Linked DNA regions of Sus scrofa. The protein of the gene in region 2 purifies or fractionates together with the protein of the main gene of each other region. This does not show direct contact. Links are inferred from orthologs where the notes say so. Each region holds a gene or a part of one and is shown on either strand. Other genes may lie near its edges.

Region 1 (5,050 bases), on a different chromosome or scaffold from region 2:
TTTTTTTTTTTGCTTTTTGCTTTTTAGGACTGCACCCGCAGGATATGGAAGTTCCCAGGCTAGGGGTCCAATCAGAGCTACGGCTGCTGGCCTACACCATAGCCATAGCAACATGGGATCTGAGCTGAGTCTGTGACCTACACCGTAGCTCATGGCAATGCCGGATCCTTGACCCACTGAGGGAGGCCAGGGATCCAACCCACAACCTCATGGTTCCTAGTCGGATTCGTTTCCACTGCGCCATGACGGGAACTCCACGCCCTTTGCAACTTTGACCTCTGCTCCTTCCTTTCCCAGCTCCTGCCGTGGTTGGCTGTGGACCCAGTTATGCTTTATCTCTCTGCTCTGCTTCATCCTTGCTCTTCATCTTCCTCTTGCCTCTTTTTAAAATTTTTATTTATTATTTATTTTTTTAGTAGAAAAAGTTGTCGTTTTGTTTTTTGCTGCTTTTTTTTTTTTTTTTCTTTTTCCCTGTCCTTTGTCTTTTCAGGGCCGCACCCGTGGCATATAGAGGTTCCCAGGCTAGGGGTCCAATTGGAGGTATTGCTGCCAGCCTACACCACTGCCACAGCAACACGGGATCCGAGCCATGTCTGCCACCTGCACTACAGCTCATGGCAATGCCGGATCCCTAACTCACTGAGTAAGGCCAGGTATTGAACCCGCCTCCTCATGGATGCCAGTAGGGTTTGTTAATCACTAAGCCATGACAGAACTCCTTTGCCTCTTTTTAAAATGTTTTTTTTTTTTTTTCTGGCCTCCCTGTGGCATATGGAGGTCCTGGACCAGGGATCAGATCTGAGCTGCAGTTGCCACCTAAGCCCAAGCTGCGGCAATGCCAGATCCTTAACCCACTGTGCCAGGCCAGGGATCGAACGTGCATCCCAGTGCTCCCAAGATGGCACTGATCCCATTGTGCCACAGCGGGAACTCCGCTTTTGCCTCTTAACTGTCTCTAACCCCTACTCCTCTGACCCTGTGGAGAGCTTAACCTCTGACCCTGTAGTTTTGGGGGATCCCCTGGGCCCACAAGTCCTTAGCCTCTGTATCTTGTCCCGGCTTCTCTACTTGGATTCTTATCAGCTCCCAAATGGCCACACAGTAGGCCCATTCCTTTCCCTGCCCTGCCACCCCCAAACCAGCTTCCCTTTGATTTCTTTAGGACTCTAAGATAGTATTTCTATTTATTTATTTTTAATTTTTTTGCTGTGCCCATGACATAAGAAAGTTCCTGGCCCAGGGATTGAACCAGAGCCACTGCAGAGCCAACTCTGGATCCTTAACCCACTGTGCCACAGTGGGAACTCCTGAGATAATCTTTTTAAGATACAATTTCATTAATGTAAAATATACTTAAAGCAAAGTGCACAAATAATGAGTGCATTATGTAATTAAGAATTTTCACAAACTCACTGTGAAGTAACCAGCACTGCTCAGATCAAGAAACAGAACGTTGGAGTTCCCGTTGCGGCTCAGTGGTTAATGAATCTGACTGGGAACCATGAGGTTGCGGGTTCGATCCCTGGCCTTGCTCAGTGGGTTAAGGATCCGGCATTGCCGTGAGCTGTGGTGTAGGTCACAGATACGGCTCGGATCTGGCGTTGCTGTGGCTCTGGCATAGGCTGCGGCTATAGCTCTGATTGGACCCCTAGCCTGGGAACCTCCATATGCCATGGGTGCGGCCCTAGAAAAGGCAAAAAGACCAAAAAAGAAAAAAGAAACAGAACATTAACAGAACCCAGAAGCCCCTGGAGCCCCCTTCTGGTTTGTGCTGCCCCCCACCTCCAGAGCGATCACGATCCTGACTTTTAAACCGTAGATTCATTTTGCATGCTTTGAACTTTGTATAAATGGAATCATAGAGCTTTTTGGAGTCTGACTTTCCTTTAACCTTATGTTTGTAAGGTTCATCCATATTGTATCATATTCCACTGGGTGAATAAAGCACAGTGTGTTTACCCATTCTGCTGTGGGTGGGCATTTGGGCAGTTTCCAACGTTGAGCTAGTATGAAGAGTGCTTCTAAGGAGGTTCTATTACATCTTTTGGCCGACACACACACGCATTCCTGGGAGGTGTGTACGTAGGAGTGGAATTGCTCTGTGTGAATATTCAGCTTTACCAGATACTGCAAATGGTTTTCCAAGGTGGTTGCATTAATTCAAGCGCCCAGCAGTGGTGTGTGGGGACCCAGTGGCTACGTGTCATGACCGCCGCCTTGCTACCCCATGGTCAAGCTGAGATTTCAGTGTCCTCTTTGTCTTCTTCCCATCTTTTCAACTCTGCTCAGCCTGGTACTGAATGAGAGGATCCCAGAGGTGGGTCCAGCCCAGCCGGGCTCTTGAGGAGCTCCCAGTCCCTTAGGGAGGTGGCCACATAAACAATGACGACAGAGCAGGAAGGGGGTTTTGGGAAAAGCCTGGGAGCTCAAAAGAATATCTCCTGGAGGCTCCATCGAGTATGTGAGTGGGTATGAGTGTGTAGGGCTTTGAAGATTTGGGGACCTCCAGGGAAGCCAGAACATTCTTGGATTGATGTTCTCCAAGCACCACCTTTGTTCTTCTCCCCGAGTCAAAGCGGCCAAGTTGGGGTTGCTCTCACATCTGCCTTCTCCCTCGCCTTTCTTTCTTCTCCTTCCCAAGGCCCAGCCCTGGCTCAGTCCTCTGTTACATTTCCAGCTGCCTTCTCCCTGGCTCCTCTTGTGTCCCCCGTCCCCTGTGTGGTGTAGATTTGGCCAGGTGCCTGCCCTAGGCGCGCTCCTCTCTCCCTCTGCTTGGTCCCAAGCTCCTTCCTTAAGGCCCTGACCTGGCCGGGCTGCTCTCTCCCCAGCGCGGGCACTGGCCGCACAGGTTGCTACATTGTCCTGGATGTGATGCTGGACATGGCGGACTGTGAGGGTGTCGTGGACATTTACAACTGTGTGAAGACCCTCTGCTCCCGGCGCGTCAACATGATCCAGACTGAGGTGAGGGTGCAGCCCTCTCCCCACTTCTTCTCCGGGACTAGGGTCCCTTGTGCAGGAGCTCGAAGCGGGGCAGTGTGTTGGACGGGTGTCCTAGGATTTCCCCTTGTTCTTTTGTGTCCTTGAACTTGGCCTGCCGGCCTCTCAGGGTCTTCCCAGACTCAGCTCCACTGTGTTCGGTTGGGTGAGGAGGTCAAGGAGCACTGGGCCAAGGTCATAGGTTCTGCAGTCAAGACATAACGCATGCTGGCTTTGTCTCCTCACTAGATATGTCACCTTGGGTTGTCCCCTCACCTTCAGAGCTTCTCATAGGGCGATTATAGGGATGGGATATGATGTAAGTGAGCAAACTTAGCCATGAAGGTCGGTTCACATATAGGTGGCCCAACCTGAGGTCACGTGGTTGGCCGCCACCTCAGAACTCCCCAGCCTCAACCTTGAGCTTGCCTCCCCGGCCACTACCCCCAAATCCCTGGCTTTTGGTCCCTTCTGGGTTCCTCATATTCTCACCTCCTGTTCCAGGAGCAGTACATCTTCATCCACGATGCAATCCTGGAGGCCTGCCTGTGTGGGGAGACCACCATCCCTGTCAGTGAATTCAAGGCTACCTACAAAGAGATGATCCGCATTGACCCTCAGAGTAATTCTTCCCAGCTGCGGGAGGAGTTCCAGGTGGGGCATGAGTGTGTGTGTGGGTGAGTGAGTGAGCATTTGTGCATGTGTGTGTGTCTGTGTGTTTGTGTGTGGTGTATTGGGAGGTCCTCGGTGCTGTGGGAGTCACTGCGAGCCAAGCAGGATGGACAGAGTTGGGCTACCAGGAGGGATTTTGAGACAGTGGAGGAGGTGGTACATCTTAGAGATTAAGAGCCCAGGCTTTGAGGTCAGATAAACCTGAGTTCAAAGCCTGCCTTTGCCTAGTTAAGAGCTGTGAATAACCTCGCTAAGCCTCAGTTTTCTTACCCAACAAAGAAGAAGATAGCTAATATTGCCCTTGCAGTGTTTGTCTTCCTTATGATTCTTTTGCTTGCAAGTGACAAAGATCCAGCTCAGTGGCTCTTGTAACTAAAAAGTCTGTGGATGGTCCAGCTTCATTTATGGCTGGAACCAGGGTCTCAAATGATGATGCCAAGATTTGGTCTCGTCCATTTTTGGTTTCATGCTCCTCTGTTTTTGGCTTCTTTCTCAGATCCACACCCTGGCCCCCGTCATCTTTGCTGTCAAGAGACTCTAAAAGGGGGTACTTCCTGCTCCCAATAGCCCCCCCAAAAGTCCCAGGCCAGACTCTCATGAGCCCATTTCTGAGCCAGTCACTGGGACCAGAGAGATGGAGCCCAGTGATTGGCCCATGTGTGGTTCTGGGGGCGGGGCAGGTCGCTCTGTCACATGACTAGGATGGGAGAAGCCTGGTTCTTAGGAGAAATTGGAATGTGGCCACTGGGTGGGGAGAGACCCAGATGTTCTTTCCACTCCGGGGTTCCTATGAGGGTTCAGAGGCACATGCCGGGTGCCTGGTGCTCTAGAACTGGCACAGAGTGATGACACAGGAGGTGCTGCACTGATTCTTGGAGGAGGATGCTGATCTCTGGGGATCACGTTAGGGAGCCCCAAGCAAGAGAAAGAAAGAAAGACTCTGTGAATCAAGGTGCGTGAGGCTCGAAGGTGGGAGGGAGGGGACCCAGTGTCCTTGGCTTGCTGTTGTGCCCGGTGTTCCTTGACAGGGCTGTGACTGCGGAAGGGGACCACCAGTGCCCAGTCCCCAGAGTCCGCTTTGCGGAAGATGTGGGGTTTGACTTCTTCTTCTCTTTTTTTGTATTTTGTCTTTTTTTTTAGGGCCGTTCCGGTGGCATATGGAGGTTCCCAGGATAGGGGTCTAATTGGAGCTGTTGCTGCCGGCCTACGCCAGAGCCACAGCAACACCAGATCCGAGTCGCATCTGCAGCCTACACCACAGCTCACGGCAATGCCAGATCCTTAACCCACTGAGTGAAGCCAGGGATCAAACCCGCAACTTCATGGTTCCTAGTTGGATTCGTTTCCGCTGCGTCATGACGGGAACTCCGGGTTTGACTTCTTAAAAGCACTTAGCAAT
Region 2 (5,050 bases):
AAATTCATTTTCTTTACCTTTACTTTTCTTGGCCAACAAAATGAAGTAATTAACACTATTGGGAGCCCTGCTGTCAGAAGGTAAATGAACCAAAGCCAGGGGCGCGCTTCAGTAGCTGCCATGAGCTGTTTGAATACACTGGGCTAGAGACATAAACAGAAATGCAGTCTATGAACCTTCACTCAGAAACACAGCATATAAAATAAAAAACTTAACTTCACCTAGGTGTTTTACATTAAGGAGTCACGAATTTGTAAGCTAAAAAATACTTTATTTTCCCATTTTATACTTCACAAAGTTTAAATAATCTTTAACTACTCACATGTGCTGCTCCTGACAAGTGGTAGTAAAAGATAGGCTGTATTATATAGGTGGACCTGGCTAGTGTAGCAGCAAGAGTTAAGATACTTTTCTTTATTGGTAAGTTTCAGGACAGAACTACTCTTTATAAAAGAGTATAAATACCCCTAATAAAAAGGTGTATTATCTGGTTCATTTAGAATTATACAACTCTCTGTACTTTAAAAGACTTCCTTGAAAAAAAAAAATCAACCTGAGAATTACTGTATTTTCTTCTTCTTGGTTATTAACACATTTCACACACAACTTTCAGGAAGGAAATTGTTTCTCTTACTAAAAGAAAATCTAAAATCATCATATGTTTTAGTTAGAAGAGTTTCAAAATGAGAATCCTTTTACCTTTACTTACTTACTCTTTTGATGGTTTTTGCTAATATCCAAAGAAACCAAATGTAAAGTATGAATTTTTCTTTAACTGGTTTTAAAGATAGATTCTCCAAGATGCACTGTGTTGAAATATTTACTATTTTTTAAGTAATGTTAAGATTTTTGGGAAAAAACAGGGCATAATAATATTAAATTTAAAAAGTTTCTGCACTCCACTAAGTGAAAAGTTGTTAAAATGAATAAAGAATATTTAGATTACTGTTCCCATTTAAACATTGAATTGACAAGATGACAAGGATATTGAGTAGTATCATTTCTATAAACATCAAAAGGCATTAAATCCCATTATGTTATCATAATTTAATAAGTGAAATAAAGACTTACATAAGTTCATTAAATAGTCTGTAATGAAGTTGTACCCTGATTTGGTAAAGCTAAATATTCTGTTCACATAAATTAATTTAAATATGTTTCCTCAGCATTTAATCATTGTTGCACATTTATTTATCTTTTAAAAGATCATTTGTATAACTTATAACCAGGACCAAGTCCTATTATTACTATATGGTAAATCATGTACCTCATTAGCATTTTCTACCATTATTTTCACTCCCCAACCATCTGCAGCCCAGCGATCTGCTACTGCCTTTTCTGAACAGATAATAAAATTATCAAAGTAGATATCAGAGGTCATGGACCAAAGCTCTAAGCCAAGGGCACTGAAAGAAGTCAGAAGAAATGGGTGATCATCTTCAAAATAGTCTGGATTAGGGATTTTTCGAGGACTCCAGACACCCTGGAAGAAAAAATAAAGACATTTTCAAATAAAATAATTTCATTGTAAATGTTACTCAAGAAGTAGCTGCTGTTGAATTAAATTAGCAATACTAACTGAAAAAAAGAAAACTTTAACTGATATTTAATTCATTAATAATTCACTGGAAATAAAATCTTATTTCTTTTTACCCTGTACACAATGTTCCCTATGAATAATACTGACTTTAATCTCTGAAAAAGAAAAAAAAAGTGAAAATCCAACACACACAGAAAATTGAGTAAATTTCACAAGTGATACAATTTTAGACAAGTTGTTTGTTGCTTGTCTTTTTACATTTAGTAAAAATATTCAAGTCAAGATAGCATTAAAAACTTCAAATCAGAGAGATCACCTTATGGCAAAAACAGGAGCCATGGTTTTTTAACATATAGCCATGATAGGCATCAATAATCAATCATAATTGAATCTCAGAACAATTATTCAACACGGAAGTTTCACTAGATCTTCAACAATTCAACTCAACCCAATCTATTCTGCTCCAAGCACTATGCCAGATGCTAGGATATAGTGATAAGCAAGGCAGACATGTTCCCTGCATTATGGTGCTTAAAGTCTAATGAGGGACATGTTTAAAAAGTTACCAAAATAAGCCTTTTTGTGATAAATACCACAAAGAAAAACCACAGTGAGCAATTCAAGTATATTACTATATACGTAAGATAAATGTCAGAAAATGTCAATGAAGGAGTTCCCGCTGTGGCTCAGTGGGTTATAAACCCAACTAGTTTCCATGAAGATGAGGGTTTGATCCCTGGCCTCATTCAGGATTCAGTGCTCCCGTGAACTGTGGTATAGGTCACAGATGCAGCTGGGATCTGGCATTGCTGTGGCTGCAGTGTAGGCTGGCAGCTGTAGCTCCAAACGTACCCCTAGTGTGGGAACCTCCATATGCCGCAGGTGCAGCCCTAAAAAGCAAAAGAAAAAAGGAAAAAAAAAAAAGAAAATGTCAATGAATAATTAGACAGATAAAACTAAAACTACAGGGTTAAAGGGATAACACAGGACTTGAGTATACCTCAAACTAGGGTACACTCAAAAAATATCTGATTCTTATTAGAAAAAAAAATCCAGTTATAGTAATGCCAGAGTAAGGAGCATGTTAATCCAGCACTGACTCAAATCACTAAAATGTACATGAGTTCTCCTTTTTTGGCAGCGCCCACAGCATATGGAAGTTCCCAGGCAAGGACTGAAATTCAAGTCACAGCTGCAACCGACACTACAGCTGCGACAACACCACATCCTTAACCACTGAGCCCAGGAAGGGAGCTCCCAAACAGAACGAAAACATGCCTCTGCTGTGAACCTAACCTGAGCCACTGCAGTAGGATTTGTAACCCACTTCTGTACAGCAGGAACTCCTGTGAGTCCTCTTGATCAGAACTCATTTCTTAAATATAACTCTGAAATAAAATTTTATTCCAAAGTGATCATCAGTTGATTACTAAGATAAAAACAGTATAAAGTGACTGATCTTTAGTTGTTAATTTTATCCCCCCCCCAGAAAATTAAATAAAGAATGCTTTACTTTTTAAATGTAAATTAGTTGGTGTCTATTTTCTTTGACTTCTTAAGATAGTTAAGGCACACTATTACAAATCAAAGTTCTGAGAGTTCACATAACATTAGCAGTAACTAGATCTATAACAGAAGTAGCACATTTTAAACTTTACTATGGGTTGGAACAAGTGGTTGTTACCTGGTAGTTAGGGTTATCTATCATTGGAGGCCTCCATACCCCTTTGTACTTTGGGTTATCTATCATGGGAGCTCGCCACTCACCACACCCAACCCGACATGCTGGATTAGAAATATGAGGTGCCTCCCATTCTCCATCCATGTCTTCATTCCTTAGGATATTAGAACAAAGCAAATTTAGGAAACTCAAGTCTTTCCTGTCAGTCATATAAACTAGTAACAAAAAAGCTGGCAAGAAACATATAAAATTGACATTTGAAGATGAAGAAGGCATACCAGTCACTAGGTTTTTCAGCATTAGGATCTGGAATAAATTTTGGTTCATCATCAAGCCAGCCATCAGGTTTAACAACACTTGAATCTTCTATTTGAGCAGGTTCGCTTTCATCCCTGTAAATACAGTATTTTTTGATACTTTATTTAAACAGTTTAAAAATGGACGTCACAAAATTCAGAAGGTACCGAAAAGCATTTCCTACCCTTCTGTCTCTGTACCTTCTACCTCCTCCATCTCTCATCCACCAAAACCTTCTATATACTTTTTTGTAAATTACCTGTTATGCTCTATGCATAAACAAATGGGTATATACATAAATATTCTTTACACAAATAATAGCATTCTATACAGGGTATGTTAAGACTTTGCTGCTATTCGCTTAAAAACTCATTTGTTAACAAACATATACAGGATATCTACTACATGTCAAGACTGTTCTAGGAGTGCTATTTTATATAAATTTGTACCTGCTTGATTCTCAATGGTTCCATAGTCTCCTACTCTGTGAATATACCACAATTTATTTAATCTGTTCTGGAGGACACAATTTTCCAAAAACTATTATTATAATGTTATACTTAATAGCCTTAAACACATTAGAAGTTAATATGAAATTGTCAGCTATGTGAATTAAAATTTTTCCCAGTTTCTCGTGTTATTTTTTTTTGGCCGCCATGGCATGTGGAAGCTCCTCGGCCAGGGATCGAACCCATGCCATGGCAGTGACTCAAGGTGCCGTGGTAACAATGCCAGATCCTTAACCTATTGTGCCAAAAGAGAATCCCTCAGGCATTTTTTTACATAGTTTATGGTGAGGTTTTTTTGCGCCATATAAAAATCATTTATTTTCATGTAGTTGAAATTTATTAGCATTTTCCTTCTTTGATTATGGACTTTTATGTCATATTTGAAAGATCTTCCCTACTCCAATATTACTTTTTAGAAACTCCACATCTCTATATTTAATTCTAGAAATTTTTATATTTTCATTTAAAAATAACAAAGTAAATTCTAAATTATATAAACATAGTCATAGTAAGTACTGAATAGAATTACTCACATAATTTTCATCTTTATAGAAAAGCAGGCATTTTAAACGAGAGGTTACATTATAATTTTCCAAACAAAAGTTGAATAACCAACTGAAATAATCAATTCTATGTAAAGACTGAGTAAGAAGCTGAAGTAATCAACTCTGTATATGCAAAGACTTGTAACTGCCTGATATCAATGTTATCCTGAAGTTGGAGGGCTCAGAGTAACCAGAGTGTAAAAATTTTTTTTTTTTTTTGTCTTTTGTCTTTTGTCTTTTTTTTTTTTTTTCAGAGCCACACCCGCGGCATATGGAGGTTCCCAGGCTAGGGGTCTAATCAGAGCTACAGCTGCCGGCCTACACCAGCCACAGCAACACCAGATCTCAGCCCCGTCTGTGACCTACACCATGGCTCATGGCAACACCGGATCCTTAACCCACTGAGGGAGGCCAGCGATCGAACCTGCAACCTCATGGTTCCTAGTCGGATTCGTTTCTGCTGTGCCATGACAGGAAC
Region 3 (5,674 bases), on a different chromosome or scaffold from region 2:
ACATTAAAAACAGACGGTTTCCCCCCCCTTAAAAGCAGCTCCCTGCCCCCTCCTCTCAACTTCCTCATCTTTTAAAGCAGTATCTTCCTTGTCAGGTTAAAAACTATCTTTGTTAAATTCCCCTCATCAGCTTTCACTCTCCCAAGACCCAATTAATCATCAAATCCTATCAATTCTTCCTTTATAACCTCTCAGAAATCGCCCTCCAGTTCTTTTCTATTCAGCAGCACAGAAAGAGATAAGGATCTGGTTCTCTGGTTGGGGGGGGGGGGAAGGGAGATGAGAAACATCATACACACGTGAAAAACTTTTTATAGAAATAAGAGAAATATTTTGTAAATGGGGGGGGGGGCAAATAAGCCTTATATACAGACCCTGCCACTGCCTTTGTCTCACAGCAATCCAGGGCAGTTGGAGGGCCTTCCTGCTGTCCAGGGGCTGTGCTGAGCCCATTGAGAGTCCCCTTTAGGCCACTCTGACTCAAGCCACCCCTCCATAAATGAAGCAGCACGTCTTCCCTTTCAAATCAGCTAATCTCCACTCAGAGCACAGCACATATGTAACCAATCTCAACTAGTGTTGACACCATTTAATAGGGATATGTCATCATAATTTAAATTTTTATATGTTTGTATTTTACCTCCACCTGGACAGAAGCTCATTCTTCTGTATTCTTACTGCCCCTCCCTTTCCCCATAGCAACCAACACGGGGTTCTGCTGTTTGTAGTCTCTAAATAAAATAAATGTGTGTTAAATCATAGAGTCTTAGAATTTGAGAGCCGGGAGGAATCGTAAGAATTTCTCTTGACCAATCCTTTACTTGATGAAGAAACAGGTCGAGAGAGATGAGTTGACTTGCTCAAAGCCAGACAGCTGGCTGGTGGCAAAGCAAGGGCCAGAACCCCGGTTTCTCCTGCTTTAAGTCTGTACCTAAGTGGCCCTTAGATAATCAGTGACAGAAATATACGGCTTCACGCAAGGTCTCCTGGGGATGGTGGTGATGCGGGTGCTTCGCTTTATTGAAACATTTACGAAGATTCCCTTCATCGCCTCGCAGGACCTCCTCGGACTAACTCAGCTGGGTGTTGAGCGGAGTCACAAGTTGCGTGCTGCCCTTGCTTTCGAGTCCGTCGGCCTAATCTCGGGGCTTTTTGACAGGAGGGCCCACCCGAGGGCCCCGCACACAGGGGCTCCCCCTTTCGGCCCTTCCCAGGCTGCCGCCTGTCACAGCGGCCGCGCGGCCCGCCCCACGTGGACCCGGCTCGGAGGATCAAAGTCTGTTTGCTGCCGGGCCCCGTAGGTGTGCTGGGAGCTGCGAGAACCCGCAGCGCCAGAGCAGGAGCCCCGCCACGCCGGGAGGACCCCGGCTGCCCCGCCCCGCCCCTCCCCCTCCTGCTGCACGCGGCCCGCGCCCCCCACCCTCCCCCACGACGCCAGGCGCTGCACCCGGCCGCGGCCCCCGGCCCACGCCCGGCTCCTGAAGGGAAAGGCCCCGCCCCTATCTGTTAGAGCCACGACACCGCCCCCTCCCGCCCCGCCGGGCTCCATCCAATAGTGAGCGCGGATAGGCGGGGCGCGGCGGCTGTCGTGAGGAGGTCCTGGCCAATGGGGAAGCATGCCGGGCCTGGTGGGCGGGGCGGCGAGGCCTTGTCACGCTCGGGTCCGTGTGAAAACGGGGGTTCCGAGTGCAAAGCAAAGTTTTTTTGTAAACCGTCTGCAAAGGCGGGGGGGCGAAGAAGGCGCCCGACACCGGGCCGAGTGCAGCTGCGGTTGCTGCCGCCTCTTCAGCTCTTCAGGCGTCGGCTCCTCGGTCCGAGCCACACCGGAGGGAGACCTGAGAGAGGGAGACCTGCGCGGAGAGCCGGCAGATGCTTGGAGTCTTCACAGCGCAGAGCTGCCCGTCGCCCGCCCGCTCCTGCTCCGGCTCTTGGTCCGCGGGCTCCGGGAGCCCCAGTTCCCCACCTCCGCCGCCCCGCCGTGGGTGTGGGGGCTGCTGGGGCTGAGCCGGGCCTCCGCGCCGGCTCCGAGGACAGACGCCTGAGGAGCTGCGCGCCACCGGCCCGCCGGGGACGCCCGCAGGCGCGGGGGCGCGGCGGCTTGACCCCGGGCTCGCCCCTGTCCGGCGGCGGAGGCCCCACCGCAGGCTCCCGAGCGGCCGGGCTCCGGCGGTGAGAGCCCGGCGGCGCCCTTCCTCCTCCGTGGCCGGGCCGCCGGCCCTCGGCGCCTCGCCGCCGCCGCCGCCGCCTCACGAGTGTCCGGGCCGCGCTCGGCGGGCCCCTAAGCCGCAGCCATGGGGTGCTGGGGTCGGAACCGGGGCCGGCTGCTCTGCATGCTGTTACTGACCTTCATGTTCATGGTCCTGGAGGTGGTGGTGAGCCGGGTGACCTCGTCGCTGGCGATGCTCTCGGACTCCTTCCACATGCTGTCGGACGTGCTGGCGCTGGTGGTGGCGCTGGTGGCCGAGCGCTTCGCCCGGCGGACCCACGCCACCCAGAAGAACACGTTCGGCTGGATCCGGGCCGAAGTGATGGGGGCTCTGGTGAACGCCATCTTCCTGACCGGCCTCTGCTTCGCCATCCTGCTGGAGGCCATCGAGCGCTTCATCGAGCCGCACGAGATGCAGCAGCCGCTGGTGGTCCTCGGGGTCGGCGTGGCGGGGCTGGTGGTCAACGTGCTGGGGCTCTGCCTCTTCCACCATCACAGCGGCTTCGGCAACGACTCCGGCCACGGCCACTCGCACGGGGGGCACGGCCACGGCCTCCCCAAGGGGGGCCGCGGCAAGAGCAGCCGCGCCGGCGGTAGCGACAGCAGCGCGGCCCCAGGGGAGCAGGGAACCGACCAGGAGGAGACCAACATCCTGGTGGCCAAGAGCAGCAACTCCAACGGGCTGAAATTGGACCGGACAGGTGAGGTGGTCGCCGCCGCAGGTGGTTGGCCCTGGGGAGCCCAGACCCCGGGTGGCCCCGGGCGGGGTGGCCCGCACGCCCCCTGGTGCCCAGCGGGCCGCGCCGCGCCGCACCGCCGCCTCGCCGCTCCTTCCCGGTCCCGCGCCCGCCCAGAAGGCGCGGAAACGCAGGTTTCCCCCTTTCAGCCTGGTGTCATGAGCCCGGGGACGCTTCGGGGGTTGGGGGGTGGGTGTAGACGAGGCATCGCGGCTGTGAGAGCAGACAAAGGTCAGGGGTGACCGTCAGCCCCCTGCTGCCCGCACCCCACACTTGGCTGTCTTCTCAGGCTGCCGTTTCAAGAGAGTGTCTGATTTGGGCGTTAGCAGGATCCAAACTGCTTCCTAATTCAATTTCTTGACCCTGTCGGCCCACGGAGAGAATCCCCCGCTGGTCCTTAGTTGTTGGCTGTTTGGGACCTTGCTCTGCCCAAGTAGTTCTGAGGCCCTTCCAACAAGTTTCTTGATGTATCCCGAGCCAGCTATCTAGCGATTGACTTGCCTGAGTTCAAAACCCTGGTTCAAGGTTCTTCTTAAGAACAGCCGTGTATGTTTCAGGTAATTTTCTAAAATCTAAACCAAACCCTGAAAATCTTAGACTTCGGACCTGTCTGGGCATGTTTAACATTTCACTTAGGAATTTCCATAATCATACGAAGATAAGCGATGGTAATTCAGCTTATATTTTTAATGGACAGTTTTCATTCTAAACAGTAAGTGCTTTTGAAGGAAATCTGGGAAATGGGCGTTGAAGGCGACAGAAAAAGGAATCTATCTAATACCTGACTACCCAAGCCCAGGGATGTTAACAACTTGTGTATTTCCTTCTAGATTTTTTCCATATATATTTATTCACCTAGTTTTATGCTACATAGACAGCTTTCCTTTATCCAAGATGCAGGATGTTATGTTAATGAAATTCAGGTTGTACTTTGAAGAGGTTTCGTAAACAACTGCATATCCTCTCACTCCCCCTCTAGTCTGCAAGGTGTCATTCCAAAGAAAATTAAGCTGCTCTGGTGTGTATAATTCTTTTAAAGGATCATTATGTTTGATTTAGGAAGTAGTAATGATAATGATAGTTCCAACTTTTCTTTAAGTCTCTGTGATTGTTGATAGGTTTATATTGTTGATGTGTTAGTTTCTAAACCCATTCCATTAAGAGACTCATTTATATAAATGACAAAAATGTAAAAGTTAACACCTTAATGACAAAAGATGGCTAAAGAACTGTGTCAAATTAGCCATTTGCATTAGACTTATCCATAGTTGCATTTAATTTGGGGTGATAGTGTCCAATTTAGTTTTCCTTTTGGTATATGCCAAAAAGCACACACACACACACACACACACATACAGAAAAGATGAACCTTTTTTTTGAAGTGGTAGTGTTGGACAGTGAGTGGCTAGGAGTGTTGGGGAAGCAATATCATCTTAATGACTTAATTTAGCCTGGCCATTCTGTCCTGGCTTGTTCCCAGTATGTCAATTTATATTAGATTCCTGAGCACATTTTTAAATTATGTTTTGTGAAAAATGTTCACTTCCATTTCTTAAATGGAATTAGGCAAGAATGTTTATATAAACATTTTAGATGTGTGTTTGATACGGAATCTTTATTTCTTTGTAGATCCAGAAAAGTCCAGAAGTGATGCAGTGGAAGTACAAGTGAATGGGAATCTTATCAGAGAACCGGACCAGGTGGAATTGGAAGATGATGATGATAAGGCTGGACAACTTAACATGCGTGGAGTTTTTCTGCATGTCTTTGGAGATGCTTTGGGTTCCGTGATTGTAGTAGTAAATGCCTTAGTCTTTTACTTTTCTTGGAAAGGTTGTCCTGAGGGGGAGATGTGTGTGAATCCATGTGTTCCTGACCCCTGCAAAGCATTTGTAGAGTTAATTAATAGTACTCATGCAACAGTTTATGAGGCTGGTCCTTGCTGGGTGCTATATTTAGATCCAACTCTTTGTATTGTAATGGTTTGTATACTTCTTTACACAACTTATCCATTACTTAAGGAGTCTGCTCTTATTCTTCTCCAAACTGTTCCCAAACAAATTGATATCAAAAATTTGATAAAGGAACTTCGAGATGTTGAAGGAGTTGAGGAAGTTCATGAATTACATGTTTGGCAACTTGCTGGAAGCAGAATCATTGCCACTGCTCACATAAAATGTGAAGACCCGACATCGTACATGCAGGTGGCTAAGACCATTAAGGACGTTTTCCATAATCACGGAATTCACGCTACCACCATTCAACCTGAATTTGCTAGCGTAGGCTCTAAGTCAAGTGTAGTCCCTTGTGAACTTGCCTGCAGAACTCAGTGTGCTTTGAAGCAATGTTGTGGGACACGGCCACAAGCCCAATCTGGAAAGGATGCAGAAAAGGCCCCGGCAGTTAGCATTTCTTGTTTAGAACTTAGTGACAATCTAGAGAAGAAGCCCAGGAGGACTAAAGTTGAAAACATCCCTGCTGTTGTGATAGAGATTAAAAAAATGCCAAACAAACAACCTGAATCATCTTTATGAGTCTCGAAAAAGATGTGATATTTGACTTTTGCTTTAAACTGCAAGAGGAAAAAGACTCCATTGAAACTCTATGTTTGCCAAGTAGTGTAATTGAAGTCCTTGTCTGGTCACACAGTTTAATTCTATTTTTGTAAGAACATAATGGGGCTGCTTAACAGAGTTCTATATTACAACTTTGTGGTTATTAGAGCAGAGTA
Region 4 (5,050 bases), on a different chromosome or scaffold from region 2:
CCAGTGGCTACAGCTTTGATTCGACCCCTAGCCTTGGAACCTCCATATGCCTCGGGAGCGGCCCAAGAAATAGCAAAAAGACAAAAAAAAAAAAAAAATGTGTGTCTCTAGGAATAATAAAGGGTATAGTGATAGAAATTTGTTAAGATGGAGATTTTATATGTGCCTGTTTAAAGATAGTGCTTAAATTTATCTCTACTTTGCAATTCATATGCAGTTCATAGTTAGGGTGCAAGTTTTTATATAAAAATAAAGGGATAAAAGCATCACTTCTAGATGATGACTATATGATTTTTTCTTTCATCAACATCTTTCTTTCTAGACCCCCCAAATGGGTACCTTCATGGGTGTCTACCTCCCATGTCTACAGAATATTTTTGGAGTGATCCTGTTTCTACGCCTTACATGGGTGGTGGGCACAGCTGGAGTTCTGCAGGCCTTTGCAATTGTCCTTATCTGCTGCTGCTGTGTAAGTCCCAAGTTGGCTCCTGGAGATCACCTGGAACACTGCTCAAGCTCGAGTATCATGCTTGGCCTCTTTGAGAATAAAACAAAGAATACATACTGGGGAAGGACTTGCCATCTCAACAGGAGAGATTATTTTGATATTAAAATCTAAAGGATCTTCAATTACTTAGTGTCAGTTATTTACTGTTTATAATATGATATACTTGAAATTACAAAGAAGGACTTCTATAAGAAGGAGAAGATACAGGTTCTGACTTCCAAAAATTCAGATACAAACTATTTGAGCTTGATAATACCAATGTTGTGACAGAAAATGTGTTAGAAAACATGATATGCTTACTCCAGTATAGTGAAGATTAACAAAACTGATTGTTGTTTGGAAATGAGAGGTATTTGTTTTGTTTTGAAGTCTCATCCATTGTCCTTTCCCCAGAAATTTGGGTATTGTTTCCAGATCTTCTCTTCACTACACTGAGAACATTCTGAACTTCCTTTAATTTAAACTTCTCTTATCTGTGTATCCCAGCCACATCTCTCAATTTTATTGTAAGTTGATTATTATAAATTTTTTAATTTCATTATTCAGCTGTCTACTGACCTTTTATTACTATCACCATCATACACTCCCTGTGCATTGTGCTCAGCTGAGTATTGTGCAAAGCAGGGTAAGGAGACATAGTCCATGTTGTTAGTAACTTAATGATACCACCATTTTTTTTTCAGTTTCTTAGTCTTGAAACTTCAGGGCCCTATTTGGTTCCTTGATTGCCTCTCACATCTCATGAGCTATCAAGACCAATCAAATCAAATCTCCCTCTGAAATCTCTTTCGTTCAACCCTTTCTTTATACTCCTACTTCTGCCACTGCAGTCCTTCCCTCTCTCTGAACTACAACAATAGCCTACTAACAAGTCACTCTGCCTCCATCTACTCCCTATCTGCAGTCCATTCTGTACTCTGCTACTACCAGGTAATGTTTTAAAATACAGTTCTTATGAGCTGGGCAGTCTTTAGTGGTTTCCCTTCTTACTGAATGTTGTTCTTGTTATTGTAGCCAGTCTTTAGTCAGTTTCTAATCTGTTTTCTGAGTTTTCAATTTAGGAGACCGGGACTAGATGAGTGGTTCTTAATAGCACCTAACCTACTGATTACAATATAGGAGTATTTTAGCAGAATTCTCCCGATACTAGTAGTATGATTGAAGCACATCAGTGCGTCAAAGCACATCATCTCATTTCCATGAAATTCGGTATGACAGGCAACCGCTTCCGTAAAAGTAGATAGAATTAGATGTTCGATCAGTGCTCTGAGGTCTGCAAATGGGAAAGTAGTATAGAAATACCATCTTTATACAGTAACGGTCTTCTCCTTTCCCTTTCTTTACAGACAATGTTGACTGCTATCTCCATGAGTGCCATTGCCACTAATGGAGTGGTGCCAGGTCAGTAGCTAAGACTGGATTTCAGAGATTGTATATTTATGCTGTAATGAGGCGTAAACTTCCAAGGAACAGAATACTAATTAGTATGTTGGCCATAGGCACTAACACTACTTGACTTTAGAATACCTTCTTTAAAGAAATCTCTTTATGTTTTAAGATTAAAAATCCCTTATTTCTGTTGCATTCTTAGCTTCTTTTCATTAGAATATATGTTTTATTCTGCTGTCTCATGCGTGTAATAATCCTCTGCTATTTTTTAAGTAATACTGACAAATTGTGCTGCTTTATATGGAGCATATTAGATGTGTCGTTTAAAGGTTTCATCTTTTACTTCCTACTAGGAAATCTGCTTTTTATCACATTTAGGGTTTTCAAAAGTCTGAATCAGTTATCTTCCTTCTTTATGACTTGCTGACTTTCCTAATACTAACATACTTTTTTTATCCTGTTCTTCTGTTGTGTCTTTTAGCTGGGGGCTCATACTTTATGATATCCCGAGCACTGGGCCCAGAGTTTGGTGGGGCTGTTGGCCTCTGCTTTTATCTTGGTACCACGTTTGCAGCAGCCATGTACATCCTTGGTGCCATTGAAATTTTTCTGGTGAGTAATGATTTAATTGTGGTTTACAGTGTAGAAAATATATAGATTTGAATGTATTTTTTTCTTTGGTATCAAAACTTCTGGAGTTCCTATGGTGACTCAGCAATAACGGACTTGACTAGTATCCATGAAAATATGAGTTTGTTCCCTGGCCTCACTCAGTGGATTAAAGATCTGGCATTACCATGAGCTGTAGTGTAGGTCGTAGATGTGGCTCGGATCCCATGTTGCCATGGCTGTGTGGTAGGCCGACAGCTGCAGCTCTGATTCAACCCCTAGCCAGAGAACTTCCTTATGCCGTTAGTGCAGCCCTAAAAAGACCAAAAAGAAAAAAGAGATGGAATTAATCAGATGACTGACTGTTAACCTGTTATTGATCACCAACTATAAACATGAGTCTGAAAGATGGAGGTATCCCTTGCTTGCCTACTCATTCTGCATCACCCTACCACCTTGACCCCAAAGATGAAGTCTCAGAGGCAAGACTTGGCTAATGGAGGAAAAGTAAAATAAAGTTTATCTTTTTTGATGTCTATCCCAATGAAATAAAATATTCTTTAGTTATTCACTGAGAGGTTTAGAGTAATGATAGCAGAAATAGGACTTAAGGTAATCATTACAATTATTTTGTATAACACTTTTTATAAAAAGTTTTATTGAAGTATAGTTGATTTACAATGTTGTGATAATTTCTGCTATTCAACAGAGTGATTCAGTTATACATATACACACATCGTTTTCTTTTCAGATTCTTTTCCCATATGGATTATCACAGAATACTGGATAGAGTTCCCTGTGCTATACAGCAGGTCCCCTTTGGCCAGTCATTACATTTATCACAGTTATATATGCCAATTCCAAATCCCCAATCCATCCCTTCCTCCCTATTTTATATAACACTTTGAATAAATTATTAACACAATCCTTGTTTTTTCCATTCGGAGATGTATTTAGAACAGCACATAGACTTAAGAAAAAAAAATCAATGACATCCCATTTCTGTAGGCATTTTAGATCCAAATAGAAATTAGGCTAAGTCTCCAGTCTATTTCTGTCTCAGTTTTGCTTTCCCTTATGAAAGAAACTGCAAACTACAGCTACCTTTTTAGTTGATTACTTTGAAATGACCTTATTTTCTACTTCTTTTGCTAAACAGGTATATATTGTCCCCCGAGCTGCCATCTTTCATAGTGACGATGCACTCAAGGAGTCAGCAGCCATGCTAAATAACATGCGGGTCTATGGCACAGCCTTCTTGGTCCTCATGGTGTTGGTGGTATTCATCGGTGTGCGCTACGTCAACAAGTTTGCCTCGCTCTTTCTGGCCTGTGTCATTGTGTCCATCCTGGCCATCTATGCTGGAGCCATCAAGTCTTCCTTTGCCCCGCCACACTTCCCGTACGTGTCTCTGACTAGCCATCATTATTGGGTAGTCATCAACAGTGATGTGGTCATTTCAAGTCATTTTCACAGTTTCTCAGAGATTTCCCTCTTGGATAAGCCCAGTTAGTATTTATGAAAGAAGACTCCCAGCAAACTGTGTCATGTCCAACCTCTTCCTTGTGTCCCAAGCATAAAACTGGCAACTGTGGTCATCATTTGGATGTAGATAGTAGTTTTTTCAAAACCTGCTGGCAATAATTATCTATATTTAAACTATTCATGAAAGGCTTTTCAAACCGCATAGTCATTACCAGTAACCTTTATAAAGTATTTGAATATTAGATTCCTTTTGTTAATGAAAAGTCAAGAGAGTCAAGGAAACTTACCTACCTAAGTATTTATAATTAAATTTTTAATTCTGCTGTTAGTACAGTAATGGACGTTTAGTCGTAAAGGGAATTGAATGTCATGTCATTTGCATCTCTCTCTCTCTAAATATAGATTATACTATTACTGTAAGTAGAGAAGGTACCTTAAGGTATATTTTATTTTTTTGAAGTAGAAACAGATTAGTACAGAAATATGACTCACACTCTCACCGTTTTCCATTTGATTAGTGGCATAGGTGCTAGCTGGCCCTGAGAGTTGTTTGTAATCTTACACTGATTGTCTTTGACAAATTGTCCGGGGGTCATCCAAGGATTAGACTCATCACTCCCAACCTTGATTTAACCTGATTACGTAAAAGTAGATTTTTCAAGATGAAAAACAGGTCCTTAGAGATAAAATGACTTGCCCCAAAGTTAATTAATGGCAGAGCAAGAACACAAACCTCGTGATTTCCTGATTCCCAGTCCAGTGTTTCTTGTACTATGCTAAATGATGTCAATAACAGACTCCACCAGAACTTTTTAGTTTGCTCATCTAGGGGCTGCCAAGTAATTGAAGATCCACTTGAGTCATAAAAGGCTACATTCTGGCTATATCTTAACTGGGAAAATTCCCTTCTGTCTCAAGTTCTCCTTTGATGCTTCTCTTCTTTTTTGGTGGGCAAAAGTTTGTGATGTGTGGTGTTTTCTTTAAAATATTTCAGCAAAGCAATTTTAAAAACCTAGAGGAGAATTTCCCATCGTGGTGCAGCAGAAACAAATCCGACTA
Region 5 (5,050 bases), on a different chromosome or scaffold from region 2:
CGTTGCTGTGAGCTGTGGTGTAGGTCTCAGACACAGACATGGCTCGGATCTGGCATTGCTGTGGCTCTGGAGCGGCGGCCACAGCTCTGACTGGACCCCTAGCCTGGGAACCTCCATTTGCCACAGATTCGGCCCTAGAAAATACCCCCCCCCAAAAAAAAGACAAAATATTAGAAACTAGGCAAGGTAATTTGGATGAATTTAGGTATTAAAGAGATAGATTTATCATAACTATTCTGAAAGTATGTTTAAATTGTAGACAACTGAAACTTTATGATGGATGCCATGTATACAACTATGTATGTTATAAACATTTGAATATACAAAAGTTAGGGAACTATAGGAATTTAGCTAAAGATACTTTAATATTTACCTCCCTTATATCTTTATTTTTCTGCTTAATTCTTTAGAATCCAAAGGCCCTGCTGCTCCTCTAAATGTAGCTGACCAAAAGCTTCTTGAAGCTAGTACACAGTTTCAGAAAAAACAGGGAAAGAATACAATTGATGTCTGGTGGCTTTTTGATGATGGAGGTAAGGTTGCTAACATTTTTTGACAAGTTTAAATTTTCTGAAGTTGTGGGGCTAGTACTAGGCAATGGCATGTACTCTTCACCCATAGACCCAGTTCCCATTAGGCCAATATTCCCAAAAGCAACAGGATTACTTCCAGAATCAGGCTTCACACTTAGTTGTCATATGTCTTCATTGTCCTTCAGTTTGAAAGTTGCTCAGTCTTTTCTTGAGCTTCATGACTTCAACATTTAAAAAAAAATATTATGGACCATTTTGTAGAATGTCACTCAATTTGGAGTGCTGTTTGATGATTCATCATAATCAGTTTCAAGTTACGTATTTTGGGTAGAAATATCACGGAAGTGATGCTGTGCTCTTCTGCCCTTTTCTCACCAGGTGACATACCATGTTGATTTGTTCATAACTGATGAAGGTAGCTTTGACCGTTGAGGAAGGTGGTTTTCATATACTGAAAAGTTATTGTTAACCCTTTTTATACTTACAGGTATTTGTGGGATGGGGAGTTACTTTGAGACTATATAAATATACCATTGTTACTGTGACTGCTGCCGCCATGTTTAGCATCCATTGATATTTCTACCTGAATTTATTCTCCCTGTTATTGTTATTGTGATGTGTCTGTGGTTGCCAAATGATGATTTTTCCAATCCTGTCATTTCTTCCTCATTTATTGCCTGGTATTTTATTATAAAGAAGAGTTTCCTCTTTATTTCTATCTATGTGTACTTACAGATTCCTATTTTATTTATTGGGTAAGATTTTTCATGCTTATTATTTGTTTTGATGATGACCCAGATTTGGCCAGCAGTATCCTTTCTAGGCTGACTCCTGTGTCCATTTGTCATGTCATTTATTTTCTGCAAGATGTTCCAGGCTCAGTTTTGTACTTTACCTACACCGGCCCTTGAGTCACCCTTTATCCAAAGAGCCTGATTCCTTTTAGTAGAGAGTGGTATTTACAAACAAAGGTCAGGGCTTTAGGTATGTCTGTTGCTGCTAGGGTGTCACTGTTCCCAGGCTCTGTCAGTGGACAGATCAAGGAAATACACATATGTATGTTTTCTTGCATATATACAGGTATAGATGAAACCACTTCCAGTCCAACACTGCAGAGTTCATGCCAGCTTTTTTTTATGTTTCTCATTTCAGTGAGAAACGGCTCACATTAGCTTCAATGAATATTCTCATTTCTTCAGTCCTGATGTGTAACTGTAGTCTCCTGACCTTGCCAGGCCATTAGTCCACTTCTCTGCCTTTCTCGCATGGCTCTGGCTCCACTGGGCATCCTTGCTTTTCCAGGCAAAGCCAAGTGGCTTTTTGTCTGAATTATTTAGGAAAGACAGAAAGATTTTATTTCATGTTGAGTTGGAGAAAATAGCAACTAACTTGAATTAAAAGTTCTTGATAGAGAAATTAGTGTTTAGGTAATGATCTGTTATGTTTTTATGATTCAGGTTTGACCTTATTGATACCATATCTTCTGACTACCAAGAAAAAGTGGAAGGATTGTAAGATCAGAGTATTCATTGGTGGAAAAATAAACAGAATAGACCATGATCGGAGAGCGTAAGTCTGTTTTAAATTGGTGAACATTTACCTAGTAGCACTTCGTTATTTCAATATAGATTTGATAGTATAAAATTAGACAATCCAGAAAATGTCATTTGCTCTGTTCTATGTGAAGCTGAAAATTCTAGTCAAATGAATAAAACCTCATTCTCTCTTGTTTTCATGTTTGTTATAGATACTTCATTTTACTTATATGTAATATTTTTAATATAGTGACATTTTAGAAGAACTTTAAATACTTGTGGCTTTGAAGTATTAAGCACATTTTTTAAAAATAGAAAGTGCACAAAAGTGGCATTCATATGGTATATTTTGTAGACTTCTAGACAACAGAAATACAGAATAGCATTGTCCATTGTCTTATTTCTATCTCTCCTATCACACTGCTAGTGCTGGTTTCACTACTTCTTGAAGTCCTCTGTGTCTTGTCTCTGACCATTTAATAATATACTGTGCACACTGCTCCCAGTTTCACATCTGGAAACTGGAGCTTTCACCATGTCATGCCTCTGCCCCGAATACTTTTAACTTCTTCTCTGTTACATACCATGGAAAGTCTGTGTGACAGTCAGGCCCTTCCCTTAAGATCTGTCCACCTGTTTCCTTTCTGTCTTTATTTCCTGTTTCCCCAAGTAAGCCTTATTATACCTCAGTTTACATTTCTGCACCTGCCCTAAACATATAGAGGATTTCAGACTTAATTCCCTATACTTACCAATATAATTTGAATAAAATTTAACTTTTAAAAAACTAGCTGCCATTCAGATTTCATTATTAATGTCTCGTTCCTTCCATTCATTTTTTTTTTTTTCGATACTATGGAGAGATTCAGAGAAATCAACAGAATTCAAAACAAGTTTCTACTCAGAGAATGTAGGTGTCTGCTTTATGAATGTATCACTTGAAGTAATTCAGGACGACTTTGTTTAGCACCTGATGGACTTTTCCTATAAATCATGCTTTTCAGATGTGTGGATTCAGCCCTAAGTAGAATAAAAATACTACTATATATAGCCTTCACGTATCACAATACTGTTCACTTTTGTTCTAGGATGGCTACTTTGCTTAGCAAGTTCCGGATAGACTTCTCTGATATCATGGTCTTAGGAGATATTAATACTAAACCAAAGAAAGAAAAGTAAGTTATTGGATAAATTACTTTATACAAATTTCTAATTGACCTACTCAGAGACTCTAACAGATCACTTAATTACTGTTACATGTGAAGTCAACCTGTTTTTAATATATAGCAGATGGTATTCCTATTGCAGGTACTGAAGTAAGCCCAAAGAGTTTTCAATATTTAGAGATGAATTCTATTACTACTTTGCAAGTAATTTCTGAAACTCGTTAGTGCCACAGAAATTCCACATGGTTTTTAAATTTCCATTGTTCACCCCATTGTTCATTATGACCACTTAATCCCTATTCCGCATATATATTACTTTTCACTATTTTATTACCAAAATAGGGGGGGAAAAATCTAAGAATTTGCCTATAGTAATCACATTCAGAAATCTCAGAGAGTCAAAAAAAAGTAGACTTGTGGACTATTCTACCTTAAAATGGTATATGGAAGTTGTTACAACTGTACATATTTATATTATTATACATAATTTTAATTACTTCCAGATATATGTTAGCTATATGATGAAGCTGGCATAAAGAATTCATTTTAAGTAGAAAACAGCTATACCTTTGAGGTTGTAATTAGGGAGACATTTGTTTTTATTTTTATTTTTATTTTTTTATTTTTTTGTCTTTTTTGCCATTTCTTGGGCCGCTCCCACGGCATATGGAGGTTCCCAGGCTAGGGGTCTAATGGGAGCTGTAGCCACCGGCCTACGCCAGAGCCACAGCAATGTGGGATCCTAGCCGCATCTGCGACCTACACCACAGCTCACGGCAACACCGGATCCTTAGCCCACTGAGCAAGGGCAGGGATCGAACCCACAACCTCATGGTTCCTAGTCGGATTCGTTAACCACTGCATCACCATGGGAACTCCGGAGACATTTGTTTTTAATAGAACAATATATATACACCAGGAGCTTTCTATGAGACTTGATACTGAAAAATACGTTTTCCATGTTTATAGGGGATTAGAATGCTATTAATAAAGCTTTTTCTATCTTTTGTCCTACTTGGGTACCTTTGGATCTAGAGCTTAATTTTGCATCTTCTCAAATGTTTAAGATCTGTACTTTCCTCCATACGAAATGTTCTTAGTACCTTTTCTTAACAGTACTTCTATTCATTGGTACTTAAACTGGGAAAGTTACTGAGTGTTTCAAGTAAAGGAGTAACAATTTTACCTCCTACTTAAAAGGCTATTTTAGCTATGTGATGAAATTTATTTAGGTTGAGGAGCATGGGCTGGGAGCAGGAGCAGTTACAGGGAGATCTGCATTAGCAGTTGGTATGGCAATTCCTTTATTATGAATATGGTTCTAGTTTCTATTCAGTTAAGAGAAACTAGTGATTGTTATTTTCAAAATAAACTGCCAGAGTGATGGTTACAGTTAGGGTATGGAAGGGACCATAGTACTGGAAAACACTAACTTCTGAAGTTATAATTACACTAACTTTTCAAGTTAACTTTAATGTTTAAGATCTTACTGTTAAGTAATTCAAAATAAAGTTAATTATCTTTATTCTCTATTTTTTTTAAGTATTGTAGCTTTTGATGAAATGATTGAGCCGTATAGACTTCATGAAGATGATAAAGAACAAGATATTGCAGATAAAATGAAAGAAGATGAACCATGGCGAATAACAGATAATGAGCTTGAACTTTATAAGACCAAGGTATTCTTTCTCTCCTGCTTCCTTTTCATTTATCTTGCATGTGATTTTCAAAAAGTATCTAAGATGTAAGTATCAAGAACAGTAACTGGTTAAGAAAGGTACCAACTGTGTAAACTACATCTACTTTACGTCGTAAT
Region 6 (5,050 bases), on a different chromosome or scaffold from region 2:
ATATATACATATATTTCAATAAAATTTTTTAAAAACTGTATTTCCAGAAAAAAAATTATTTAATTATCTTGGATTGTTCATTGTTGTTTCCTTGACTTGGTGCTGTCATTCCAAAGAAGAGAGTCAATTCCTCAAGGACAGGGCCCAGGTGGTGCAGTCCTCTGAAAACCCTGTCAACCCTCAGAAAGTGTTAGAGAGACAATGGCTCTATACTCACAAGTTGTTTCGCTGCCTGATCAGTTCTGGCTCTTAAGCAGTTTACTCTTTTTTGACAAGCATGTCAACATTTTTCCCTTATTCTGACAGTGTTTCTCAGAAATCTTGTGAAATTAAGTCAGTGAAATAAAAACTCTTAGATTCCAGGAGCCTACTTTCAAAGCCACCAATAAACTCCAAACTCCACATTAGCAAGTATATTAAAATCTGATTTAACAGAAAACAAGTATGTATATGTATATATAGATGTGTGTGTGTATATACATACATATAAAATGGATCATGTATAACTAAATCAGTATATATAAATATTGAAGAGCATGAAAAATAAGGCTATTTAAAAGTAAAAAAAGTTGTTCCTTCATGATTAATTACTGCCTGATGAAGGATAGTAAAAGGGGGGAGAATTTTTTTTTTAGAAAAAATGATAGGTTTATTGAACAAATATTTACTGAACACCTACTCTGGTCTAAGCCAGTGTTGTCCAATGGAAATATAATGCAAACTTCATGTTTGATTTTAGAATAACTATAGCAGTGTCTCTGCTGTGGCAGTAGCTTAATCCCTGGCCTAGGAACTTCCACATGTCTTGGGCATGTGGCCAAAAGAAAATAATGTATTCAAAAAGTGCACAGTCCCTGCTGAAGTCTCTCCCTGGATTGCAGTTTAGGAACCCACCAACTGCAGCTTATTTAAAAAAAAATTAATTTCACCAACACTTCAAATGCCTTACCTCTTTTTCAAAAGACCAGTAGCTAAAAAGTTTTGTTGCCTGCATTTACAATATACAGTTTATGTAAGAAAATTAAGTAGTTATCAGAAAAAAACTCAGTGTCACAAAGTGACACTGTGTCTTTATTTTTAAAGACAAAGGTCTGAGTCACAAACTAAAATTGGAGAGAATGGAGTTCCCGTCGTGGTGCAGTGGAAACGAATCCAACTAGGAACCATGCGGTAGAGGGTTCGATCCCTGGCCTCGCTCAGTGAGTTAAGGATCCGGCATTGCTGTGAGCTGTGGTGCAGGTCATAGACACAGCTTGGATCTGGCGTTGCTGGGGCTGTGGCGTAGGCCGGCAGCTGTAGGTCCGATTCAAACCCTACCCTGGGAACCTCCATATGCCACGAGTGCAGCCCTAAAAAGCAAAAATAAACAAATAAATAAAAATAAAAAATTGAAAAAAAAAATTGGAGAGAGTTATTTATAATCACCCTTACAGTGTAGGAGTATTGAACCAAAATACGTTTGTGAGATCGGTGATTGACATCCACTACCTCACCTGGATTTCCAGATGATTCCATCTCAGTACCACTGTTAGAGCTTAAAAATTTTACTGAAAATCTCTGTGTCATGATCCCTAGAAAAAAATAAATAAATAAAAATACGATGTCACATTTCACTAGAAAAAGAAATGACCCCTCATAGTGTTATTCTCTTTACAACTACATTCCGATGTGCAAAAAAAAAAAAAAAAAAAAAAAAAAAAAAAAAGAATTCTATGATTCAATCATGAATACAAATAAGAAAAACAAGTCTGAATTAGTCTATCTGTTATAATTACCACAGTCATGAAGAAAGCAAAAAAATAAACTGAGAGCATTCTTGCTGCCCTCCACAAAGTTACCTTTCTGGTGGACATTAATTTCTGCCCTAATAATTTTGACATCTATTTCACTGATTGTATTATTATTCCATCTGAAAATATAATGTTCTTCCACATTCACGTTCCTGGCGGCTGGTCCACTACTCAAAAGTGTTTCTGCAAAGAAAGCAATATTTTCATAAATTAAAGGCCTTCTTTGGGCTTAAGCCTATTACTGGTGGTTTTCTCTGCCTGGGTGGCCTTCCCCCCACACCCAACCCCACCCTGCCTACCCAACTCCCCAACACAACAGGGTCAACTTTTCCTCTGAAGGCCTTCCCCAGGCCTCCACCCAAGTCAGCAGAGCCACCTCCTCTACACCATCTCAACATCCTGAGTGAAGTTTCTCCCTTTCATGCCTACATCCTGGGTGCCTGGTTCATAGCTCAATATGGAACACGCTTGGAAGAATGTTAAGTGAAAGATTACACAATGACAGCTCTTGGAGTTCCCACTGTGGAACTGGGTCAGTGGCTTCTCTGCAGTGCTGGGCCACAAGTTTGATCCCTGGCCTGACCCAGTGGGTTAAAGTATCTGGCACTGCAGTAGCTGTGGTGTAGGTTGGAGCTGCAGCTTGGATCTGATCCCTGGCCTGGAAACTCCATATGTCACAGGGTGGCCAAAAAGGAAAAAAGAAAAAAACAAAAAACAGAATGTCAGCTCTGTAAGAGCAGGGATGTGCCTCTAGTACACTACTATATTGTACCAATATCTGATGAAGTAAAGAATGAGTTCAAGAATTACAACATGTTGAAACACAAGTAGTATCCTTTATTAAAAACTAAAGACCCCAGGAGTTCTCATTGTGGCACAGCAGAAATGAATCCGACTAGTATCCACGAGGACATGGGTTCAATCCCTGGCCTCTCTCAGTGGGTTAAGAATCTGACATTGCCAAGAGCTGTGGTGTAGGTCTCAGATGCAGCTTAGATCCAGCATTGCTGTGGCTGTGGTGTAGGCTGGCAGCTGCAGTTCGGATTCAACCCCTAGCCTGGTAATTTCCACATACTGTGGGTGTGGCCCTTTAAAAAAAAAAAAAGTGTTGGTAATATTGGCCAAGTTCTAAGTACCTTATTTGGCTGCATCACAATCAAAATTTAATTATCAAAAAAAGGAAAAGCAAGCAAGAAGTGAAAATGCTAGATCTGGAGTTACCGTTGCAGCTCAGCAGAAATGAATCTAACATCCATGAGGATGCAGATCTGATCCCTGGGCTTGCTCAGTGGGTTAAGGATCCAGCGTTGCCATGAGCTGTGGTATAGTCACGGCTTGGATCCCATATTGCTGTGGCTGTGGTGTGGGCCCACAACTACAGCTCTGCTTCAACCCCTAGCCTAGGAAACTCCTTATGCTGTGGTCTGGCCCTAAAAAGACCAAAAAAAAAAAAAAAAAAAAAAGCTGGATCCTCAGTAATTCTTTACCTATCTGAAAAACATTTCAGAAAAGGTCCATAGGCCCTGAGAATGAGGAAGGACCCTGGAACACACATAATCCAGGACTGTGGAGGGTATGGTTCAAGGTCACAGAGGTGACTCCAAAGTATGCTTAATGGAATAAGCAATATGCAAAATATTGATGGGATAGCTTTCTAAAGTTGTGATCCTCCTATAATTCTTAATAAAAATGCATTTTCCTCTGGGACTATATATTATTTGTAAAAAAAAAAAAAAAAAGGACATATATTCCCACAGAAATAATATAAAATCAACTATATGCCAATAACATTTATTTAAAAAACAATTAATGGACTTAGATTGGGAAAACAGCCCAAAAAGCTTAATTTATTTCAATAAAAAAGAAATGATATAAAAGTATAACATTAAAGTACCTGTATTTGTGATGACTCTGTCTAGGTCAGTTGCGTCTTCATAGATTACTTTTGGTGTAACTATGCCTGAAAAGATACATAAATGAACTTTCATGAGACGACATAACTGAACAGGATCACATATATCTACGCAATGCAAGTTCACCAAGCAAATACGACAACTGTGCCTGCCCTGTATGCCAACTACACAGCTCTCTCCTACTCCCTGAACACCATCAAATGGGAGTCCCACTGTTCTTGGCATATAATTATAACTGAGGGGTTGAATCTCAAAGGTCATTGATGATGATGTGGAGAGTCAGGCTCACGGAAGAACTAATAGGCAGCACGTTGCTGGTGGGATTACAAAGTGGTGCAGTCATTTTAGAAAACAGCTTGGCAGTTCCTCAAAAAGTTAAATTACCATATGACTCAGAAATTCCCACTGCTGGGTATCCGCCCAAGAGAAATGAGAACTTGTGTCCAAACAGACACCTGGACGCGAGCATGCAGAGCAGACTTATTCACAATCGATGGAAGCTGGAAATAACCCAAATGCCCATCAACAAATGAATGGATAGCACAGTGTGGTGTTTTCATATTATCTGGCCCTAAAAAGGAACGAGGTCCTAATCCATGCTATAGTGTGGATGAATCTCAAAAACATAATGTTGAGTCAAAGAAGCCAGTCACAGAAGGCCACATGATTCCATTTATATGAAGAGTCTAGAATAGGTAAACCCATAGGGTAGTTTCCAGGGATCAGGGTGAAGGGAGAAAGGAAAGAATTGTTTAATGGGTGTGGGGGCCCCTTCCAGGGTGATGAGAATGCTTTGGAACTAGATAGAGGCAATGGTTGCACCACGTTGTGCAGCTACTAAATGCCACTGAACTGTACACATTAAAAGGGTTAGTTTTCATTTTCTTTTTTCTTCCTACCCATGGCATATAGAGTTCCCAGGCCAGGGATTAAATTTGAGTCAAAGCTTCAACCTATGCCTCAGCTGAAGCAACAGAGGATCTTTAACCCACTGTGCAGGGCCAGGGATGGAATCAGTGCCTCCACAGAGACAAGACGGATCATTAAGCTACTGCCCCATAGGGGAAACTCCTAATATGGTTAATTTTTTTTTTTTTTGTCTTTTTTTTTAGGACCGCACCCATAGCATATGGAGGTTCCCAAGCTGGGGGTCGAATAAGAGTTGTAGCCGCTAGCCTACACCACAGCCACAGCAATGCCAGATCCGAGCCACATTTGTGACCTACACCACAGCTCAAGGCAACGACCTACACCCACTGAGCAAGGCCAGGGATTGAACCTACATCCTCATGGATGCTAGTCAGATTTGTCTCTGCTGAGCCACAACTGGAACTCCTCATTAATTTT

What was found.
Region 1: the proteins of CLGN (region 2) and PTPRU purify together in Homo sapiens (affinity purification with mass spectrometry; 3 studies listed by BioGRID and IntAct, with this or other methods). This does not show direct contact. The link is inferred for Sus scrofa from reciprocal best matches to the Homo sapiens genes CLGN and PTPRU.
Region 3: the proteins of CLGN (region 2) and SLC30A1 purify together in Homo sapiens (co-immunoprecipitation; 3 studies listed by BioGRID and IntAct, with this or other methods). This does not show direct contact. The link is inferred for Sus scrofa from reciprocal best matches to the Homo sapiens genes CLGN and SLC30A1.
Region 4: the proteins of CLGN (region 2) and SLC12A6 purify together in Homo sapiens (affinity purification with mass spectrometry; 3 studies listed by BioGRID and IntAct, with this or other methods). This does not show direct contact. The link is inferred for Sus scrofa from reciprocal best matches to the Homo sapiens genes CLGN and SLC12A6.
Region 5: the proteins of CLGN (region 2) and SLC12A2 purify together in Homo sapiens (co-immunoprecipitation; 3 studies listed by BioGRID and IntAct, with this or other methods). This does not show direct contact. The link is inferred for Sus scrofa from reciprocal best matches to the Homo sapiens genes CLGN and SLC12A2.
Region 6: the proteins of CLGN (region 2) and TCTN2 purify together in Homo sapiens (affinity purification with mass spectrometry; 3 studies listed by BioGRID and IntAct, with this or other methods). This does not show direct contact. The link is inferred for Sus scrofa from reciprocal best matches to the Homo sapiens genes CLGN and TCTN2.

What each region holds. Positions count from the first base shown.
Region 1 is NC_010448.4:86,213,776-86,218,825, forward strand, and holds part of PTPRU (receptor-type tyrosine-protein phosphatase U), read left to right. Parts: intron 1-2,828; coding exon 2,829-2,964; intron 2,965-3,483; coding exon 3,484-3,633; exon of another isoform or gene 3,634-5,050.
Region 2 is NC_010450.4:86,665,076-86,670,125, reverse strand, and holds part of CLGN (calmegin), read right to left. Parts: intron 3,614-5,050; coding exon 3,500-3,613; intron 3,376-3,499; coding exon 3,225-3,375; intron 1,484-3,224; coding exon 1,268-1,483; intron 144-1,267; coding exon 18-143; intron 1-17. UniProt on the Homo sapiens protein: Functions during spermatogenesis as a chaperone for a range of client proteins that are important for sperm adhesion onto the egg zona pellucida and for subsequent penetration of the zona pellucida.
Region 3 is NC_010451.4:131,631,308-131,636,981, forward strand, and holds SLC30A1 (zinc transporter 1), read left to right. Parts: upstream 1-2,278; 5' UTR 2,279-2,291; coding exon 2,292-2,907; intron 2,908-4,572; coding exon 4,573-5,477; 3' UTR 5,478-5,627; downstream 5,628-5,674. UniProt on the Homo sapiens protein: Zinc ion:proton antiporter that could function at the plasma membrane mediating zinc efflux from cells against its electrochemical gradient protecting them from intracellular zinc accumulation and toxicity.
Region 4 is NC_010449.5:80,240,303-80,245,352, forward strand, and holds part of SLC12A6 (solute carrier family 12 member 6), read left to right. Parts: intron 1-322; coding exon 323-469; intron 470-1,854; coding exon 1,855-1,909; intron 1,910-2,378; coding exon 2,379-2,509; intron 2,510-3,665; coding exon 3,666-3,907; intron 3,908-5,050.
Region 5 is NC_010444.4:131,099,434-131,104,483, forward strand, and holds part of SLC12A2 (solute carrier family 12 member 2), read left to right. Parts: intron 1-410; coding exon 411-533; intron 534-1,990; coding exon 1,991-2,102; intron 2,103-3,156; coding exon 3,157-3,243; intron 3,244-4,777; coding exon 4,778-4,913; intron 4,914-5,050. UniProt on the Homo sapiens protein: Cation-chloride cotransporter which mediates the electroneutral transport of chloride, potassium and/or sodium ions across the membrane. Plays a vital role in the regulation of ionic balance and cell volume.
Region 6 is NC_010456.5:29,315,037-29,320,086, forward strand, and holds part of TCTN2 (tectonic-2), read right to left. Parts: intron 3,751-5,050; coding exon 3,685-3,750; intron 1,974-3,684; coding exon 1,839-1,973; intron 1,572-1,838; coding exon 1,494-1,571; intron 1-1,493.